Linked DNA regions of Rattus norvegicus. The protein of the gene in region 1 binds, or shares a complex with, the protein of each later gene. Links are inferred from orthologs where the notes say so. Each region holds a gene or a part of one and is shown in the gene's direction. Other genes may lie near its edges.

What was found. Proteins that work in one complex are often made in the same cells at the same time.
Region 2: the proteins of Rab1b (region 1) and Tbc1d20 are in contact, whole or in part, in a crystal structure (PDB 4HLQ), measured with the Homo sapiens proteins. The link is inferred for Rattus norvegicus from reciprocal best matches to the Homo sapiens genes RAB1B and TBC1D20. Residues at the interface, in NP_112243.1 of Homo sapiens: Ser17, Gly18, Ser36, Tyr37, Ile38, Ser39, Thr40, Ile41, Gly42, Val43, Asp44, Phe45, Gln60, Trp62, Ala65, Gly66, Gln67, Arg69, Phe70, Thr72, Ile73, Tyr77, Glu94; in NP_653229.1 of Homo sapiens: Gln97, Gln98, Leu101, Asp102, Arg104, Arg105, Leu107, Arg108, His141, Tyr142, Tyr143, Gln144, Gly145, His147, Asp148, Phe177, Met178, Asp179, Pro180, Thr181, Met182, Lys186, Val212, Ile215, Leu218, Ser219, Thr223, His227, Met272, Ala273.

The regions. Positions count from the first base shown.
Region 1 is NC_086019.1:211,840,423-211,844,482, reverse strand, and holds the start of Rab1b (ras-related protein Rab-1B), read left to right. Parts: upstream 1-1,260; 5' UTR 1,261-1,331; coding exon 1,332-1,345; intron 1,346-2,972; coding exon 2,973-3,045; intron 3,046-3,287; coding exon 3,288-3,383; intron 3,384-3,483; coding exon 3,484-3,579; intron 3,580-3,833; coding exon of another isoform or gene 3,834-3,962; exon of another isoform or gene 3,963-4,060. UniProt on the Homo sapiens protein: The small GTPases Rab are key regulators of intracellular membrane trafficking, from the formation of transport vesicles to their fusion with membranes.
Region 2 is NC_086021.1:161,235,348-161,238,847, forward strand, and holds part of Tbc1d20 (TBC1 domain family member 20), read left to right. Parts: intron 1-1,031; coding exon 1,032-1,217; intron 1,218-3,497; coding exon 3,498-3,500. UniProt on the Homo sapiens protein: GTPase-activating protein (GAP) specific for Rab1 and Rab2 small GTPase families for which it can accelerate the intrinsic GTP hydrolysis rate by more than five orders of magnitude. Also shows GAP activity for RAB18 GTPase.

The DNA.
Region 1 (4,060 bases):
GAACACTAAGTACTTGCTGTCCCCTCAGCACCTTTCCCCTCCACTCCCGGCCGTTGCTTCTGTATATAGAGAAATAAGTTATTGGCCGTGTCATTCAACCCTCCTCCCCTCAGTCCACGGTATTCCCGGGCCACCACCTGCCTCTCTCTTATCCAGTGGTACCGCCCAGGCCTTAAATCACCCTGTTCCCAGTGGTGGTATCTTCCAAGCTCCAAGTTCTGGGACCAGAGCCTCCCAAAAGGGGTTCCTAGACCTCTTCGCCTGGTCTTGGAGGGATTTCCACTCCACCTTGCAAATGCCCGGATCCCCCACACCACGGGGCCCTGTGCTGCCTCCTGGACTTAATGCACTGTTCTTTCAACCTAGCCCCGCCCAGGCATGGCCTGACCCCACCCTGGGCACAGCCCGTTGAGCCATCCTGCCACGCCTCCCTAGCCTCAGCTTCTGATGTCCCCCTTCCCCCCACACACAGGAGGGACTACCCCATTTGTTGGGTAAGGCAGTCGCTCTCTATTTTCAGATGTTGCTGTAGAAATAAAGACGATTTGAACCTGAACCGGGCTTGTTTTGAGGAATTCAGAGCCCCTGAGCATCCCTAGAGTCGGGTGGAATCAGGAGAGACTTCGGGAGTGAGGGATACACACATATCTTCCCTGCCCTCGAGGCTGGAACTAATACTCTGCTATTATCCTGAACTGTTTGGGGAGATGCTACAGATTTGGGGTTGCGTCTAACATGCCCTAATGGGGTTCTAGACAATTCCGTCTGTGATGTCTTCTTGAACTGAGTTTCCTGAGGATTTTTCATATATGTAATACTAGTGATCACATAATCCTAGTGCTAGGGCTGCGGAGTGCCCATCCCATGAAAAACGCTGAATAAGTCAAAATCTTCTGGCCCTAAATACCTCCCACCTTCTAGTTTCAATCTGCGAATCTAGAGGGTAAAGGTGGCAGCCCATCTTAGAGGCGAACCGTACCTACCCCGGTGTTAAATAAGAGCCTGCACCTGCGGATTGGGTAGCACAACGAAGATTTTTGTAGCTAAGTTGGTTCAGGGATTGGGAAGACTACAGACCCCAGAAGGCCGTTCGCCGGAGGCTACTGGGGTGCACCGCTGCTCGGGTTCCCTGGGTTGCGCCTGCGCAGCAGTGGCAAGTCGAATATCCATGGAAACTACAGGTTCCGCAAGGCAGCGCGGCGCAACCCGAGTCGGAAGTATTTGCGGCTGCGCAGCGCGGGCGGGGCCTCTAGGGCGGAGCGGCCACCATCTTGGAACGGGAGGCGGAGCAGAGCCGACTGGGAGCGACCGAGCGGGCCACCGCTGCCGCCATGAACCCCGAATAGTGAGTGAGCCCCGCCCGCGCCGTGCGGCGCAGCCTCGATCCTGTCTATGGGGCTATATGCTTGCCGAAGTTGTCTGGCCTTGGTCAGAACTGCGCGGCGCCCCCACATCCGGGTCCCTCTTCCGCTGACCCCCCCCTTACATCCGGGTCCTGCCCTCCCCCCGGGATCCCCAGGACCCTGGCTCAACACCCCGAGTTCTGCAGCCCGGGTCCCTGAGGCTGCAACCTGGATGGGCAGCACTCGGAGCCCGCTGCGCCAGCCCTCACAGGCCTTTTCGGTTAGGTGACCCTGCAGATTTGGTCTTCCTGAGCTTCAATTTTTTTCCCACCCACAGCTTGACCAAGGGCAGGCTGTTTGGAGCCCATCACAATAGTTTCTGATCTCCAGAGTCGAATACTTTCAACTGGGCTGTGAACCTTTCTTTGCCTTTCTTCTGGAGCCTCTGTCCCGGGGCCGGCCCAGAATCTGACCAGACAAGAGGGGACCCCCGAGTCCCTGCTTGATTCACATTCCCTACAGATCCTTTCCTCTGAGGCTACCATTTGCCCTGCCTGGGTCGCGCTGTCATGTTGCTCCCGGCAGTCCGTCCTTTTCTGTCCTCTCACCTTTGCTCAGGCCTCCAGTGCCACTGTCACATAGCTTCCCTCTGCTGTCACACTGCCAAAGCACATTAGGTGAATGTGAATTTGCTTGCTCCCTTAGAGCGGAATTTTTATTCCTCAAACTCAAACCCTACATACAGTTTTGCACCCACGTTATCTTCTTCCCCTTCTCCACTTCCTTTTTCTTCCCCAACTCTAGGCCTCAGATTTCCTTGAGGAAGGGTTGAACTCACTAGTGGGCTTAGGAGGGGAACAGAGAAGGGAGGCTACCAGCTGTCAAAGAGCTTGGAGTCTGACAGGCCTGGTTTCCAGTCTCACAGTTATCAACTGCTTAGGACAAGTCACTTCCCTTCTGTGACCTCTGGTTTCCTCCGTAGTTGGAAGTAGTAACACACTTCTTTGCACTGTTGTGAGCATGTATTTCAAGTACATCCAGTTACAATTTAGTATTTACCACTGCTTCCATGGCCACTTGTTGACCGCCTCTTGTGTGACTTCATCTCAGGCTCTTTCACATTTTTGTTTTGTTTTGGATTTTTCAGACAGGGTTTCTTTGCAGCCTTGGCTGTACTGGAACTCACTCTGTAGACCAGGCTGGCCTCTGACTCAAAAATCTGCCCCCGCCTCTTCTGAGTGCTGGGATCAAAGATGTGCACCACCTTCCCCCACCACACATACACCCCACCTCCCATCCCACCTTCATGTTTATTTTTACTTCATGGGTCAGGCTTTCGTTTTTGGGTCCTAAGCTGGCATAGTGTAAGGCCCAGCGTGAGTTTCTTAAATAGTGTCTGCCAAATAGCACCGCGTATTTCTTAGCAGATTGTGTTCTTTTTGACACAGGCTGAAGGTTTTTGTGTGCTAGCTTATTGGGGATACTAAGGGTCAATCAGGACAGTAGAAGGATCTAGTGAGCACCAGAGTAGACCAAGCAGAAGTATGCCTTGTAGTGCTGTCATGCTTACTACAGGAAGGAGGGGGAACTTCCTGCTCGCCTTCATACCTTCCCGTCTTCTCTTGCCAGTGACTACCTGTTTAAGCTGCTTTTGATTGGTGACTCGGGCGTGGGCAAGTCATGCCTGCTTCTGCGGTTTGCTGTGAGTAAGAAGCACCCCTGTATTATCTACTTGGGGTCCTGGCTGACCACCGGGAAGAGGAGGGGGCAGCTCAGAACACAGTAGTTGCAAGTCCGAGAACTAAGAGTGTGGTGGCTGGAGCTGCCACAGCAAGGGCCCAGGCCCTGGGAGTCGGGTGATTAGAACTGAGGCTTGGCAGTGAGAAGCACCACAGGGGCAGGAAGCCAGTCTCTCCAGTGTTTCACTAGCCACAACCTTTTCAGGATGACACGTACACAGAGAGCTACATCAGCACCATTGGGGTGGACTTCAAGATTCGAACCATTGAACTGGATGGCAAAACCATCAAACTACAGATTGTGAGTATGGCTTTTCTCCAGCCCTCGGGCAGAAGTCTTTTCCTTGGGGTGGGAGTTCTCCTGTGGCTGACCTACCTACCCTTTTCCTCCTGACTCATAGTGGGACACAGCTGGTCAGGAACGGTTCAGGACCATCACTTCCAGCTACTATCGGGGTGCTCATGGCATCATTGTGGTGTATGACGTCACTGACCAGGTACTCCTTGCAGCCTTACCTCCTGAGCCTTGAGTTTTGATTTTTGCTTCTTTTCCTTAAACTTTCTGGAAGGGAGACACTATCTGAATTGCTTCATAAAAAGGGCAATAGGACCACAGAACTGGATTCTACCTAGACCCTGTCATGGAGTCTTGATAGAACTAGGCCACAGGGCACCTGCTGCCTTAGTCTAGACTTTCCAGACTACCCGTGTTTCTATCCACTGGTTGGTTACTATTGCTCCCTGTCTGCAGATTCAGGAAGCATTGGAAGGCTTCAGACAGCACAAGAGGGAGCCCAGTATAAGAAGAAATTCTGAAATCCTGTATCTGCTGTGGTGGCTTCAGTCATGTGTCACTGGCAGCAGCCAAAAATTGTCCTGACAGTGTCTTACATCTTATAAACACTGTAGCCTTTAGATTTCCTTCGTTAGTTACCTCATAAAATGTGAGTTTTGCTCTGTTACCAGCCTATCCCAAAT
Region 2 (3,500 bases), on another chromosome or scaffold:
ATTTTATGTGTATGAGTGTTGCATATGGTTTGTTAAATGTAGTGTTGAGGGTGCCTTGAATCAAACTCACACACAAGTGCTGTGCTGTGCTGTGCTGTGCTGTGCTGTGCTGTGCTGTGCTGTGCTGTGCTGTGCTGTGCTGTGCTGTGCTGTGCTGTGCTGTGCTGTGCTGTGCTGCTGGGACATTCACTGAGCCCAGTATTGAGTTTTGAATTACATTTTTTTCCAGTATAAACAATTAAGGGCTGGAGAGATGGCTCAGCGGTTAAGAGCACTGACTGCTCTTCCAGAGGTCCTGACTGAGTTCAATTTCCAGCAACCACATGGTGTCTCACAACCATCTGTGATGGGCATCTGATGCCCTCTCATGGTGTGTCTGAAGACAGCAACAGTGTACTTCTATACATGAAATAAATACATAAATCTTAAAAAAAAAAAAAAAGGAAGAAGGAAAAAAGAAAAAACAATTAAAATTTTTTTCTGGCCTGGTGGTGATGGCTCATGCCTTTAGGCCCAGCCCTTGGGAGGCAGAGGCAGGGGGATCTCTGTGAATTCAAGGCCAGCCTGGTCTACAAAGCAAGTTTCAGGATAGCCAGTGCTACATAGAGAAACCCTGTCTCAAAAACAAAAACAAAAATAAATAAATAAATAAAAAATAAATAAATAAAAAAAGGTTGTTTTTCTTGAGTTTAAGGGTTAACAAGACCTAGGCAAGGAAACCAGCCCAAGGAAACCACGTAGATTGAGATATCTATGCTTTGTGAACTTTGAACAGGAAAGCATTGACAGTAGCCGGTACTTACTGATAGTTCCTAAAACTATAATTCCCTGTTAGTTACATGGGGTGTGACCAAAGTGTCTTATACATCATGTGCTAAATATGTGTAGGTTCTGTAAGAAGCAATCATGAGGGCCACAGCTGAGAGAAGGCACCTCAGACCGAGTTAGGAGACGGGGACTCTAAGCAGAAACGTACACAGGAAGTGTGCTTCATTCTCTTCCACACACTGTTTGCTTGTTTGTTTCTCCAGACTTTAATGCCAAAAGGAAAAAGAAGGTGGCGGAGATACACCAAGCTCTGAACAGTGATCCCACCGATGTGGCTGCCCTCCGACGAATGGCTATCAGCGAGGGCGGGCTCCTGACTGATGAGATCAGGTGCCAAGTATGGCCTAAGCTCCTCAACGTCAACACCGATGAGCCACCGCCTATGTCAAGTAAGGGAGCAGAATCCTGAGGTGGGGAGCTTCAACTAGGGATCGAAATATTGTCTAGCTAGAGGAGGTTTTTTTTTTTTTTTTTTTTTTTCTTTTCTTTTTTTCGGAGCTGGGGACCGAACCCAGGGCCTTGCGCTTGCTAGGCAAGCGCTCTACCACTGAGCTAAATCCCCAACCCGAGGAGTTTATTTTTTAATTTTTTTTTTTTTTTTCGGAGCTGGGGACTGAACCCAGGGCCTTGTGCTTGCTAGGCAAACGCTCTACCACTGAGCTAAATCCCCAACCAGGAGTTTATTTTTTTTTAAAAAAAGTTCTCGGGGTTGGGGATTTAGCTCAGTGGTAGAGCGCTTGCCTAGGAAGCGCAAGGCCCTGGGTTCGATCCCCAGCTCCGAAAAAAAGAACCAAAAAAAAAAAAAAAGTTCTCTTACATGGCTGGGAAGATGGCTCAGAGGACCTGGGTTCGGGTTCCCAGCACATATAAGGTGACTTACAACCATACAACTCCAGTTCCAGGAGATCCACTGTCCCTTTCTAGCCTCCTGCATACAGCACTAGAGAGAGAAGTGGCAGAAGTGCTGAGGTTCCTTGGAGTTCAGAATCCTTTAATTCTGTCAGAAGCTGTTGATTAACAACGTTAAAGACACGGAGTGATGGGGGACCTGGGAGAGCAGAGAACAAGCTCCAGAGCACCAGCTCCATTGCCCGCCCTGCCGCCTCTGGCTTTCCTGCTAACATGGCAGTGGACTATGCGTTGTGTGTTCTGGGAGTTCTCAGTCATTTGTCAAATCTTGGTGCCCTTGGTGTGTGCCACATACTGGATGTGGTTAAAATGATCCATGTGCTGAAACGTTGATGATATAATACACAGTGGATGCTGGGTTGCTACATGTCAGCTCGTTATGGATATCTGAGACTGCTGCCTCAGAGCAGTGGGCTCTGTGTTAGGGGAGTCAGGTGAGAAGTCATTCTTCTCTCACGTTTCAAACTTGACACTAAGATGAAGAAAGTGTATGTGGGTGTGGGCTGAGGTGGGTATGTAAGTCTTGCACAGTTCCTCTGATAGCTCTCTGTGTGGGTTGTGAGGAAAATCAACTTACACAGTACTTGGCTTGGGATAAGGAACATATATGCTTGTATCTGTAAGCCATCTTCCAGCCCCATTGATAAGAGCATTTACTTAGCATGTACAAGGCTCAGTCCTAGCACCGCACAAAACTGATTTTGGTGGCACATGCCTGGGATGGTAGCATCAGGAGAATTTAGTGTTTAAAGCCACACCTTTAATTCCTGCACCTAGAAGTCAGAGGGAGAGGCAGATGGATTTCTGAGTTCAGAGATAGCCAGGGCTACATAGAGAAAGGAAGGAAGGGAGGGAGGAAGGGATGGATGGATGGATGGAAGGAAGGATGGATGGAAGGAAGGAAGGATGGATGGATGGAAGGAAGGAAGGAAGGAAGGAAGGAAGGAAGGAAGGAAGGAAGGAAGGAAAAAATGTAAGTGGGGAAAGGCTCAAGGTCAGGGCTGGAGAGATGGTTCAGTGGTTAATAGTGCTGGCTGCTCTTCCATGATCCAGGCTCTAGTCTCAGCACCAACCTGGTGGGTAACAAACCTCTGTGCCTCCACTTCTAGTTCCAGGGGATCTGACACCCTCATCTGCATATGCCATGTACAGATAGGAGCAAGCAAAACACCCATTCACCTGAGATAAAAAGAAACTCGTTTTTAGTTTTGTTCTGTTTTATGAGTTAGGGTTTTATTGTCCTGGAACTTGCTTTGTAGACCAGGCTGGCCTTGAATGTACAGAGATCTGACTGTCTCTGCCACTTCAGCACTGGGATTTTTTTTTTTTTAAGATTTATTTATTTATTATATATAAGTACAATGCCGCTGACTTCAGACACACCATGAGAAGGCATCAGATCCCATGACAGATGGCTGTGAGCCACCATGTGGTTGCTGGGAATTGAACTCAGGACCTCTGGAAGAGCAGTCAGTGCTCTCCCGCTGAGCCATCTCTCCAGCCCCCAGGTGTTATATTTTAAGTCATGTTTTGTTGAGGAAAAGGGTGCTCTGTGTATTCTTTAGCTCTAAACTAGCATTCCAAGATGTAGTTACTATTGCTTTTTGCTTGCTTTGTGATGTTAGGTCTAAACTCTGGGCATGGAGCTTACTAGGTTAGCTCTCTACAACTGAACATACTGGAAACCCAAGAAAGATTGACTCCTTATCTGGCTTCCCAGAGCTCTTTGTAATAACACCATGTTCCTCTTCCTCTGATAGGGA